Linked DNA regions of Xenopus tropicalis. The protein of the gene in region 1 interacts with the protein of each later gene in a pairwise test. Links are inferred from orthologs where the notes say so. Each region holds a gene or a part of one and is shown on either strand. Other genes may lie near its edges.

Region 1 (6,984 bases):
ATTTCCAAGCAAGGCTGGGTGCCATTGGTGGTTAAAAAAAAAAAAATAATTATATATTATATATATATTATATAATATATATGTGTGTGTATACGCCAAGCGAGCAGATCGGGCCGATGCGGTTCCCGATCCGACTAGATTTTTTAACCTGCCCGATCGAGATCTGGCCGATATCAGGCCAGATATCGGTTCGGCAGGCCCGTCGGTAGTGCCCATACACGGGACGATTAGCTGCCCAATCAGTCTAAGGGATAGATATCGGCAGCTAGAATCAGCCCGTGTATGGGGACCTTAAGTCCTCTTTCACGGAGGCCTTCATTGCTATATGCTGCACATAACTTGATCCATGAGAAGTCAAGAGGCCTAATATAGATATGTCCCATATATTTTATAACCTAGGCAAATACCCCCATACCCACATACTATGTCTGTATTCCACCTCTTACAGGGAATGCCTCCTCCATTACCAATTATAGTTCTAGCTCAGGGGTCCCCAACCTATTTTACTTGTGAGCCACATTCAAATGTAAAAAGAGTCAGGGAGCAACACAAGCATGCAAAAGGTTCCTTGAAAAATATGGGTAGCTCCTATGTAGATTGGCAGCCTACAGAAAGTTCTGTTTGGCAGTACACAGTTTTGATGCAACTAAAGCTTGCCTTCAAGTCAGGAATACAAAAAGAAGCACCTACTTTGAAGACACGGAGAGCAACACCCAGTGGGTTGGTGAGCAACATATTGCTCACAAGCCACTAATTGCAGATCACAGTTCTAGCCAATTGCTAGGGTCAGATACAATACCACTTGCAACAGCCCTACAAATACATCTGCTGCCTGTAACAGGACTATCTGAATGAAATTCACAGGTTAAATATGACCCTCAGTCCAATACTCATGGGTCCCAACCTGCCAAAGGGTTCCTGTTGTTGCTTTGTATGAAATCTTTGTTCCCAGAACACTGGGTATAGTAAATATAATTGCACAGCACTGGTTTATACTCTGTAAAAATGACCAGGCCACCACCTGTATCAATATGAGACACAAGAGCTGCGCTCAATGACGCATGGAAAAAAACAAAATAGAACACTATCATATAATCCATCAATTGTACCCTTCCTCTTTGTATTTTAGAATGTCAGTCTTTTATAGTAATTGTATAATTAAGGTCGGCAATTGATAGTAGCTATCGTGCTAACTGATAAAGCCCCAAGCCAACGGTACAGTAGATCGCGGCAATATGGACATATATGAGAAAATTAGATAAAACCAACAAGCCTAGCAGTCCACTAGTTGTTATAGGTGCAAAAATAAATCAGGGCTCATTGGAGCTTCTATTACACAAGTGCATTCAGTTGCTGTTCTATGATGCTGTTATTTGTTCTGATCTTGACCCAGTTTTGAAATCGCTATCAAGGGGGGGGGGGGGGGGGGAGAGAAACAAAGAGGACAAAGTGGCCAAAGCTTATTTTTCATAATACAGGCATGGGATCTGTTATCCAGAATGCTTGGGAACTGTGGTTTTCTGGTAAGGGATTTTTTTTTAGAGCTCCATACCTTAAGGGAGCCCATACATGTACCGGTACCGATATTACCATACAAAACAAGGTTTGTAACGTGTATGGCCATCTTAAGTCTACTAAAACATCACTTAACCATTACTTATTAGGATTATTAGGAAGGGTTTTTTAAGCTTAGTTACCATCAAGTACAAAGTTCTGTTTTATTATTACAGAGAAAAGGGATTTTTTTAATCAGAATTATTTGCTTACAATGGAGTCTAGGGGAAATATCCTTCTCATTATTCAAAACTTTCTGCATAAAGGGTTTCCGGTTAACAAATCCCATACCTGTACTGCTATCTTCTTCAGCAACAAGCAGCTTACAAGCAAACACAATATGTGTGTGTGTGATGTGTTTACATTTCATACACCAGCAAAAGTCCAAATTTAAAGCCGATTTTGGTTACTGCGTTGGAATATTTGCCGGAATCTTTAGTACTCAGAATGGATGAGGTGGAGGGGAAAAAAAAAAAGAAGTTAGCCAAATCCATCATAGCAAGAATGAGATCATGCAGCGGACTCCTCTAACATCTGGCTCGCAAACAAGACCCTATCCAATGAATCTCCCCTTCTGTCCCTGCCTGTGTTAAATGCCATGTCACGCACTGGAGGCGCACTGCAGCCCCACTGTGTAGAGAGGAAGCCGCTGATGTGGTTGCAGATGAGGTTTGCAAATAGCAAATGGAGATGCCTTCACAATGTCAGCCTTGTTTCCCTCGTCAACAACCCTCACCGTTTCCAAGTGATGCCATTAAGGAGAAAAAAAAAAAAAAAAATACACAGAATCAAACGCCATACTGTTGACAAAGAAATATACCATAACATTCATGCCCACTGCTTCTGACACGGCCCCTTTGTACAAGGCTGCAGAATATAAAGGTAGCTCACATGCCACTCACACTGGGCCTATGGACATGCATATTTCATATCCACCTAGATTGCTTTTCTGCATCACTAACTCACATACAGGCTAGCACTACAATTTCTAGGATGGGATTGGGAGCACTGGTTTAACCCACACAGGCACACATGACAGCATTTCCAAGGGGAAGAAATCCCAGAAAGCAATTCATTGTGCAACCTGGGTGAATTCAATTGGATTCAATACAATGCAAGAGGCAAAAGGGTTGAGTACAATTTCCACACGACCACAAAAAAAAAAAAAGTAATTCTGTATAGATAATGAGAAATTGGCTGCGTAAATAGTGTTTATAAATAGATAGCACGATTGTTAGATGGCAAGCCCATACGTCAGATGCGTTATAACTAATCAATAAAAAGGGATAGCCATTGATTTAATGAGATACACACACAGGCAGGCAAGAGAAGGGCTGATTCCCCCCCACCATGTGTGGATCATTTAGAATTTCCATCCATTATGAAACCACACAGAGCAATAGAAAGAAACCAGAGCTGTGTATGGAAGCTTTGCAATCAGAGGGGCCTATTCCTCAAACCAAATTTTTGCAATGACTGAAGAAAAGACCCTCACTTGGCCAGAAACAAAACAAATCACCCCTCCCCCTCTGGCAGAAAGGGGCACCTCTGGAACAGATTAGATCCAATTGCTACAATATAACAAGACAGTTCCTAACATTGCTCTATTTCATCTGAGGAAGAAACCTCGTCACAAACTGAAGTGGCCTGCAAAGCCATAACGGTAAGGGCCGACCTGGGCACATACACTACAGGGAATTCTGGGAAATGTAGTCGAACCTTATGGTATGAATGCGGCATAGAATGTAGGAAACGGAATATCGCTCAGTGTCAGGGCTGAATAGGTGTGTGTGTGTGTTACAGACAGCCATCCTAGCGTTCCCATTCCTGAGAGTGCGATCCGATTTGCAGGCCTGCAGTGAGGGATGTCAGCACAGAGAAACCTTTACCCCATTCCCCCTCTGCCCAGTCCCGAAGCCGCTCGGTTACAGGCGCAGCACAAAGCAGGACTTCTACTCACCATCGTTGACAGAGGTCGCAACAACGTGCAAGCAACAATACAGTAATCCCAATGCGATTCCAGCTGCAACATCTGTCCTAGGAGACGGCATTGTGGGGGGAAAGGACTAGCAGGGGTTAAGGTGGGGAGGGGGTGCCTTGATCCAGTGCTTGGCCCTCGCCTGGCAGCCTCCCTCCTCCTCTTGATGCCTTGATATCCAGACGCCAGTGGCCACAGAGGGGAAAAAAGAAATCACCCAAAAACGTGAACAATTAAAGGAGGGAAGGTGGGGAGGCTGAGGCCAGCAGCAGCAGCAGCAGGGCTGCCAATGGGCTGCACACTCTCTATTCCAGTGCTGGGAAGGGGTTGATAAAGGGGAATGGGGGGGTTGGAGTGAGGGGGCATATGCAGTCCTAGCGATTCCCCTTCTCGCCCGGCAATAGCTGCAACCTGACTGGATATCCCCCCTGATTATGAGGGATTGAGGAATCCAGCAGTGTTATTAATGAGAAGGGGAATGGCTGGGGAGAGACTATGTGTGGGAGGGAGGGGAGGGAGGGGGCGTGTCTTGTACGGTTAGCCCGCCCCCACCAGCTCTTGGGATAAGCAGGCTGCGGCTTTACAAGGGGGGCGGGGGTGGTCTCTAACCTGTGGCTTCAATGTAAAGCTTAGTCAGGGCCTGTTTTAGGGCCATTTGCCTGGGGTCCCTGCACAGTATTGATAAAAACACATAGAAGATAATGACAGTTTGTCTGGTGTATAATAGCGATGTTCACCCTGCAGCTTTCAATGTCATTAGAGAATTATAGTTTAACAAAAGCCGGAGGGCTGCCGGTCGGTAGCTCCTCTCAGATTCCTAGGGACCCTTTTCTAACTCTGGCCCTGCAAGTGGGTTCCAGCTTCATTGGCACTTTGGTTCATTTGTAAGTGGCAAAGATTCAATTAACTAGAAAGAAATCAGTATAGCATAGGTCAATAGGAGCCCTATCGCCCTATGTAATTGTGTAACTCTCTCCTGGCTCCTTTTTCCCTGGTAATAGTGCCTTCTGCCCAGGAATCCCCTGTCCCCTCCTCCCTGCCATTCTCCAGCATTCATTCTAATGCTCCAGTAGCTGATGTTTTGTCTTCTGTTCAGTGGCGGAACTAGAAGTTACTGGCCCCACAGCAAAATCATTTCAGGGTCCCCCTAAAATGTGGGAATAAGGCATTTTTTTTAAAAAATACTACTTATCTTACTACTTATCATTCAGCGCCTCACTGGGGCCCCTATATATTCTGAGCCCCCAATAGTAGCTATAGAAACTGCAGATACAGGAGTTGTTATCTGGAAATTTGTTATCCAAAAATATTAGTGCCATTTCCAATAGTGTCCTATATAAATATATATTTGTATACAATGGACTTGCTTTTTCTATAAGACAGTGCCTGACGGTATTAGGGGCACTACTGCCATAAAGCTGGCTAGGAAACTCACCTCAGGTGGCAGTGCCCTGAGCGTTACCAAGGGTTGAGTAAAGCCACTCCTAGTGACATAAGGAGATGAAATTCTGATTCTGAGTTGGCTCTTCTATTGCACTCTTGCACTAGCAATGCAACCCCCCCGACCAGCTCTGTCAGGAAAAAGCAGCATTGACCTGGCCCCCTCAGGGTGGCACTTAACCCTGAAACAGCGTTGGGCAGTATGCTTTATAAATCCATGGAGCAAATAACCAGTATCAGTATCAGTAATCAATACTCCTGGGCAACACTGTTTTGCAATGAATACTTGCCACTTTTAATTATAACGGTTGTACTTTTTGGGCATATAGAACATGCCTATACTTTTTTGGCGGGAACACACTTTAAAAAAAGCTTATATAAAACATATATATTTTTTCACTTTTCTAGAAAAATGTTCATTAACCTAACTATAAATAAAAATTATGCATCTCTCACATCAGTCCCTGCCCCAGTCTAAGGTGCCCATGGCATACACACACACAAACTATGGTTAATTTTATCAGGAGCCAATAACCTGTGTGTATATTTTTGGAATAGTAATGCTATTTTTATATTGGAAATACAACAGAAACTCTTTTAAAACCCCAGTCCTAAGTTCTTAGGTCTCAATCTATTCCTCTGCAGAATATGCAGGGGTGTAGAGGAAGAAGGTGTAAGGGCCTAACTGATAACACAGTGCAATAAAGAGAAATCTCCCAAAGTTTTGGGACAATTTAAGTTTCTAGTTCTGCCACTGAGTAGAAGAGAATACGGACACCTAAGATCAGCACCATAAAGACGCATGTCTGGCACTTACAGTGTTGTCAACCTTAAGAGTCACCCAACAATACAATACACAAGCCAAACACATAAAATGAATCATGAAAGATTAAAATGTTCTCCTACTTGCCATCTTTTGGGAATCCCACTGTGTGTTATATCCTGGACAAAATTAGACCACTATATGTGTCTATGTCCTTGTTGCTGCTTTGCAGTTGGTTCTGCTGTGTAAATGTAAAAGTCTCTTCAACAGGGGACCACTTTGGTTGCTAGCCCTTGTAACTGCAATCACCATGGAGCTCCTGTTGGGTCTCATAAAAAGGTGGGGATGTTGAGAGTGAGCTTGTATGAGCATGTCCCTATGTGTTTTCATTTTGCATTAAGTTCTGTGCCCATGTTAAAGATGTTTATGTCCAGAAGTTAATGTTACCATAAATCTTGTTTTGCAGATTGTTGAGATAGCTGGGAAAGTTGTTTTGCTTCCAGACTGTTCATGCTTATATAAGAGGCCATGTCTGGACTTTCCATTACAGTACAATGGGAGATCTAGTTGATAGGGGAAGCAACAACGCTGGATTAGTGTTGATTAGTCAGTTAGAGAATACATTTTTTTATGCATAGGTATAATGAGGTTCAAAAGTACACTTGGGTTTAAATCCACTTGTGTTTTGAAGTGCACTTTTAGTTTCAGAGTACAATGGAATCTGTGTAATTCCTTCAATATAATCAAGTGCTTCTGGGGACAAAATATTGTACTGTGGTTAATAAGGAAGTCTAACTTTTGTGTCATCTTGAGTGATTTACTTTTGAGTAACTACCTCCCCTTTTCATTCGTATTCATATAATTTTGGTTATTAGCTCCAGACACATGCCTTCTGTATTTGCAAATAATTCCACTGCCCCATATTACCACAACACTTTTACAAATACAGTATGTTTGTAAGCAGCTGTATCTCTGTACAATATAAGGCGTTCACTGTGAGAAGGGTAAGGCATGGCTAGAGCTAAGAATATATATATGCACTATATTAGGAAATATCTGATGGCTTTAGAGGTACTGGTAATCTGACTTTTGTCAGTAAAGTTTATATGTCTCATTGTGTGGTTATATTAAGAATTTATATATAGTTTTGGAAGGTACTTGAAAGCAAACAACATTTTTTAGAATTCCCTTATATTTATAGTTCTTTTTAAAAATTCTGCAAACCACTATGATATAGCTGGTCAGCTCG
Region 2 (6,445 bases), on another chromosome or scaffold:
GAACCATCCCGCAGCATTGTCCCTTTGGGGGGATCGGGCACTCACTTGCTATTCTTGGGGTGATAGCTGCAGAAGGAAATATTCTTTAGCTGGAAGAAGTGACTGCATGTGTTGACCTGTAAGAGGCAAGAATAAGAAGGGAATGAATGGAAAGGGGTTTGAATGAAAGGTCGGGGGCTAATTTGTGGGGTGTAAGGGGGTCAGATTAGGTCAGGGACATTCAAGGTTCCCTGAAATAATAACACAAGCACTTGTATATGTATATATCACACAACACAGCAACAAGCCAATGCACTGTAGGGTTCCCTTTATGTACAGTTACTCTCTTTATATAAGGAAGCAGCACAGCTATGGGCACCAATATGGCCCCCTACATGAATGCTATAGTCTTGCACAGTGGAGCACACAGAAGCCTTCATGAACCTTCTTTGATCACATCCACACTGTAAGCGATTATTATGGAGACTCTCACTGATAACAGGTTAAGTTCTGGTCGACAAATTTACCAACACGTATTAGAACAAACTCAAGCTCTTTGGGCCATTATAATGTGTAATAATGTAGCCACTTGGCCAAAATGACCAGTAAGGGGTGCTGTTCTTTCATATTCATTATATTGTCATTTAAACAAATGTAAATTGCAAACGTGCTCAGAAGAGCAATCTGTAATCTAGAACATGGCAGAAAATATTGTATAATTCAACCCTCTCCTCAGAATAGTAGGTATTGTACCTGGCTGTGATCCAGGGGGTCTTCCCCCTGCACCGCAATTTTCACTCCTCGCATGCTTATCTCTAGGATACAGTTGGCCGGGGGATTGGACAGGACCGTTAGGCGGCGGGATACTGCGATCTGAAACACAAAAGGTCAATGAACGGTTAAAGCCCAGCAGAACATATTATGTAATACACAGAGGCCATGATTAACCCACAAAACATATTCTTGTAGATGATACTGAATGATGTCATCACTTTGGTGATGTCACTTGTCACCTGACTCACAGAATGTCTGTTACAAGTCACTGCTCATATGGTACATTATGCTTGTAGGTAGGATGACGGTACGGGGAGATCCCCTAACCCTTTATCATTGCTCAGAAACTGATGACTTCATGATTGATATCTCTATTGGTCTGAAGTCATAAGTCCAGTTCCCTGCTCTAGGGACATCCACCATGTGGTCCTCCAGCATCTACTGAACATCAATTCCCAGGATTCCTGAGTAAGCAGGGTGAAGCAGTTGCCCTAAGGACCCCCCAGCTCAAGTGATGGAAGGAGACAACTCACCTTTTGCATGGCGGTGCAGAGAACATCAGTCCCTTTGTGATACGGAACCTGCACAGAACCCAGAAACTTCAACCAGAACTGATCCACCCAATTAGGCGCTCGGCTTTCTGGGGGCAGAAGGAAAGTAAATAAAGCAGATCAGAATGCTAAGGGGTGCAAGAAACTGCTCTAGGTTGGTTGCCCATTGGAGCATGTGCCCATTAGAAGATCCTCTGGTCAACTGGATCAGTGGGTTATATATGTAGGTTTCCTACAGCCTTTGTTACCTGCAATGGGATCCGGCTCCTTGGTCACCTGTACGGCGTAGTAAGCAGGGAAGATCCCGCGCTCCCCAGTGCGCATGTTATATGCCTCATACCAGTAGTCCTCCGCCTGAACCTCCACCAACAGAGGGTCTTCTACCTCCAACTCCAGCTCATCGGGGTGACGGGGCATGAACCTAAAGGGAGATTGGGGGTACAATGGGTGGGGGTACAGTTAGGGAAAGCGAGGATCTAAAAATCAAAGACAGGGAGGTGATTAAACCAATAGACAGGGGGCAGTGTGAGCCAAGGAGGAAAGTGAGTGAGGAAGATCATGAGAATAAAGAAGACTAGGTGGGCATGTCACCTGAATACGGCTCGATGGGTCTGCTCCCGCTCCTCACCGTTTATCAGGCATGAAAATAACCCAAAGGACTCAGCGCCTGAGAGAGACCAATGGAATTACTTAGAGACAAGGCCTTCTACAGTACAAATACACTAGGAGACCTCCCAACACCCCTGCTTGGTCCAATACACAGACGACTCCAAGAAGAACTCACCGGTGCACCTCATACGCCCATTCATGAAGACATTGAGGAACTTTTTGGAGTAGGAGATGTCCCCGTCTGGGGATGAAGATTCCGAAAGGCACATGGACCTTCGAACCCGGTCACCTTCCCTCCCTGCACCTCCAATGTTATCTTCCTCTTCCTCCTCTTCATACTCCTCCCCAATGGCAGACTCGTAGGGGGAGGAGACGCAGTTGTCATACACAGTGCCACTGTCGCTGTCGTCGCTATAGCCCCCATAGCACTGCCTCAGGCTGACCAACTGCAATTGTACATTCTCGTCCACCACCAAGGTGTATTTCACAGAGTCATAAGATAGGCCACTGGTGTCTGAGCTGACTGAAGCCCTCTGAAGGCCCTGAGGACCTGTTCCCCTGCCTGGGCACCCTAGGTATCCCACCCCATCCTCCCCTTCCTCCTCCTCCTCGCTTATGGACAGCTGCTGACGCCCCCCATTAGTTGTGCGAACGTTAATGTCTGCGTCCGAGCTGACCGACATGCGGCAGGGTCCAGCTTGTGAGACAAAGGCTCTGTCAGATTCTGGGGGGTCCGAGCTCCTTTGCACAGGAGTCAGGAAAATCTCCTCTGTGGGCTCCAGCCTCACGTCAGTCTGGTAACGGATACGGTCTCGGTGGGGATCCAAGCGGCATCTGCTGGAGGAACGGTTGGAAGCGTCCGTGGTGCTTTGGGTGGAAGTGTGGCGCCGGCAGGGGGTATCTGTGGAGGTGCCTCGGTCTTGTGTGACAGCTGGCAGGTTTCCCTCGTCACTCAGACACACGTGCTCATTGGAGGGAGTGGTATCGCCTGGGGGCAACAGAATAAGGTTATGGAGAACATGACAAACCCCCCCAGGCTCCATAACAAATACACTTTGCCAATTTACCTGTCTTCAGTGGAGATGAGGAGCGGGACACACGATCCTGCCAACTATATTTCTTCGCCGAAGAGTTATTATTAAGGGTGTCCTACGGAAAGGAAGAACCTTATGTCTCTTGCACTTTATGAAACATCTCCCCCCATTGGCCTATTATATGTAGGCACCCACAGCAGCAGACTTGGGGGGCTGCAGGAAGCGGCCTTATTGCATACATTGGACCTATTTGGGCACTTGTATGCTGCAAATGCCACCCCCTCTCAAACTAGCAATAAACTAGGCAGAATCACCTTTTAAAGGCATAAGTTCCAGTAACTGCCCCAGGTCCTACCATATCTGGGGTCCCTTACTGCATAGTGAGGTAAGATTTGCAACTAACCACCATTGACCTTGGCCAAAACTGGACAAAAGGGCGGAGAAGTAACATATGGGAGGCGGGGTCATGACTCTTGGAGCGGGGTTGTTCCTTGTAGGGGCGAAGCCATGGCGTCAGAGGTGGTTATTGGCCAGATTATTAATTGGGTTTCACAAGACTGAAACTCAAACAGATAGTAAGACAAGATGGTGTCAGTGGAAGTTATTGTGTCCCTAGGTGTCGGGAGAAGGGGCTCTTGTATGTGTGGGATCCATTCTTAGCTAAAGGTTATGGCAGGTTGCTCAGATTTGAGGCTGGGGATCTGCAGGTTTTACCACCAAGTGTAATTCCACTTGCAGCCAGCAGAGGGTACTGTGGAACTGTTCCATTTGGTATAACTGCTTGCCTGCTGTTCCCCTACAGTTATTGATGAACACACTGCATGTTTGTTGGGCAGCATTGGGAGGGAAGCAGCCTGGGGTTCCCCGATACAGAGCTTTAGGGGTGCATTTATTAACACTGGAGACAAGCATCAACAGCGATGTTGCCCATAGCAACCAATCAGATCTTTGCTTTTGTTTTGTAACATGTAGATGACTCTTTAAATCTTATCGTGGCCCTAATATTCAGGATCCCTAATCGTTTCCAGGAAAACTCTGCCCACAATCCTTTGATCTTTATGTTGGGGGTTTCCCAGAAATGCACCTCAGTGCCCCCTGGGAAATGTAGGCTCGGTGAGGAGGTTTATCATTTAGGCATTCTCTGTGCATCCGATAATAGCACTGAAAGGGTGGGAATACGAGGGGCCGTGTCAGGCAGAGGGATCTCGGGCCACTTAAAGCCACTGCGGCCATTCTAGCTCAGCCGTAACCATGGCAACCGGTGAGCAGAGATAGAGTGAGGGAGTGACGGGCAGGGAGAGATGGCAGTGAAACTAGAGGAACCGAGGAGCTTGAGGAGAAAGAGAGAAAGATAAATGTTCAAAAAAACAGCGCAGGAGGCAGAGATGGGGGAGACAGACGGGGAAAACTGGTGGCAGAGAGATGCTCAGTGGGGTAACTAGAAGCAAGCCCCCCAATATTTCTACCAGTATATACTGAAATTGCCTTCTGCCCCCCCGTAACACAGGGATTAAAGAAGTGTGAGTAAGTGGGGGGGGGGGGGGGATAAAGGGATAAGGGGAGTGTGGCAAGTGGAGACAGATCATAATGATGAGGATACAGGATGTTCGGGTGAGGATCGCATCAATGAACCAGGCATAAAGTATGCTCCTGTATGCTCCTGTATGCCTGTGTATGCCTGTGTATGCTCCTGTATGCTCCTGTATGCCTGTGTATGCCTGTGTATGCTCTTGTATGCCTGTGTATGCTCCTGTATGCTCCTGTATGCCTGTGTATGCCTGTGTATGCTCCTGTATGCCTGTGTATGCTCCTGTATGCTCCTGTATGCCTGTGTATGCTCCTGTATGCCTGTGTATGCCTGTGTATGCTCCTGTATGCTCCTGTATGCCCGTGTATGCTCCTGTATGCTCCTGTATGCCTGTGTATGCTCCTGTATGCCTGTGTATGCTCCTGTATGCCTGTGTATGCTCCTGTATGCTCATGTATGCCTGTGTATGCTCCTGTATGCCTGTGTATGCTCCTGTATGCCCGTGTATGCTCCTGTATGCTCCTGTATGCCCGTGTATGCTCCTGTATATCCGTTTATGCCCGTGTATGCCCGTGTATGCTCCTGTATGCCCGTGTATGCTCCTGTATGACCGTGTATGTCTGTGTATGCCCGTGTATGCTCCCGTATGCCCGTGTATGCTCCTGTATGCCCGTTTATGCTCCTGTATGACCGTGTATGTCTGTGTATGCCCGTGTATGCTCCTTTATGCCTGTGTATGCCCCTGTATGCTCCTGTATGCTCCTGTATGCCCGAGTATGCTCCTGTATGCCCGTGTATGTCTGTGTATGCACCTGTATGCTCCTGTATTCCCATGTATGCCCGTGTATGTCTGTGTATGCCCGTGTATGCTCCTGTATGCCTGTGTATGCCCCTGTATGCTCCTGTATGCCCATGTATGCTCCAGTATGCCCATGTATGCTCCTGTATGCCTGTGTATGCTCCTGTATGCCTGTGTATGCTCCTGTATGCTCCTGTATGCCCATGTATGCCCGTGTATGTCTGTGTATGCCCGTGTATGCTCCTGTATGCTTCTGTATGCTTGTGTATGCCCCTGTATGATCCTGTATGCTCGTGTATGCTCCTGTATGCCTGTGTATGCCCCTGTATGCTCCTGTATGCCTGTGTATGCTTCTGTATGCTCATGTATGCTCCTGTATGCCCATGTATGCCCATGTATGTCTGTGTATGCCCGTGTATGCTCCTGTATGCTTGTGTATGCTTGTGTATGCCCCTGTATGCTCCTGTATGCCTGTGTATGCTCCTGTATGCTCCTGTATGCCTGTGTATGCCTGTGTATGCTCCTGTATGCCTGTGTATGCTCCTGTATGCTCCTGTATGCCTGTGTATGCTCCTGTATGCCTGTGTATGCCTGTGTATGCTCCTGTATGCTCCTGTATGCCCGTGTATGCTCCTGTATGCTCCTGTATGCCTGTGTATGCTCCTGTATGCCTGTGTATGCTCCTGTATGCCTGTGTATGCTCCTGTATGCTCATGTATGCCTGTGTATGCTCCTGTATGCCTGTGTATGCTCCTGTATGCCCGTGTATGCTCCTGTATGCTCCTGTATGCCCGTGTATGCTCCTGTATATCCGTTTATGCCCGTGTATGCTCCTGTATGCCCGTGTATGCTCCTGTATGCCCGTGTATGCTCCTGTATGACCGTGTATGTCTGTGTATGCCCGTGTATGCTCCCGTATGCCCGTGTATGCTCCTGTATGCCCGTTTATGCTCCTGTATGACCATGTATGTCTGTGTATGCCCGTGTATGCTCCTTTATGCCTGTGTATGCCCCTGTATGCTCCTGTATGCTCCTGTATGCCCGAGTATGCTCCTGTATGCCCGTGTATGTCTGTGTATGCACCTGTATGCTCCTGTATTCCCATGTATGCCCGTGTATGTCTGTGTATGCCCGTGTATGCTCCTGTATGCCTGTGTATGCCCCTGTATGC

What was found. The genes of interacting proteins can lie anywhere in the genome.
Region 2: the proteins of lrp1 (region 1) and mapk8ip1 interact in a two-hybrid assay, tested with the Homo sapiens proteins (2 studies listed by BioGRID). The link is inferred for Xenopus tropicalis from reciprocal best matches to the Homo sapiens genes LRP1 and MAPK8IP1.

What each region holds. Positions count from the first base shown.
Region 1 is NC_030678.2:139,398,411-139,405,394, reverse strand, and holds the start of lrp1 (prolow-density lipoprotein receptor-related protein 1), read right to left. Parts: upstream 4,009-6,984; 5' UTR 3,606-4,008; coding exon 3,515-3,605; intron 1-3,514. UniProt on the Homo sapiens protein: Endocytic receptor involved in endocytosis and in phagocytosis of apoptotic cells. Required for early embryonic development. Involved in cellular lipid homeostasis.
Region 2 is NC_030680.2:13,632,499-13,638,943, forward strand, and holds part of mapk8ip1 (C-Jun-amino-terminal kinase-interacting protein 1), read right to left. Parts: intron 3,063-6,445; coding exon 2,981-3,062; intron 2,902-2,980; coding exon 2,089-2,901; intron 1,972-2,088; coding exon 1,896-1,971; intron 1,726-1,895; coding exon 1,553-1,725; intron 1,394-1,552; coding exon 1,287-1,393; intron 853-1,286; coding exon 733-852; intron 117-732; coding exon 46-116; intron 1-45. UniProt on the Homo sapiens protein: The JNK-interacting protein (JIP) group of scaffold proteins selectively mediates JNK signaling by aggregating specific components of the MAPK cascade to form a functional JNK signaling module. Required for JNK activation in response to excitotoxic stress.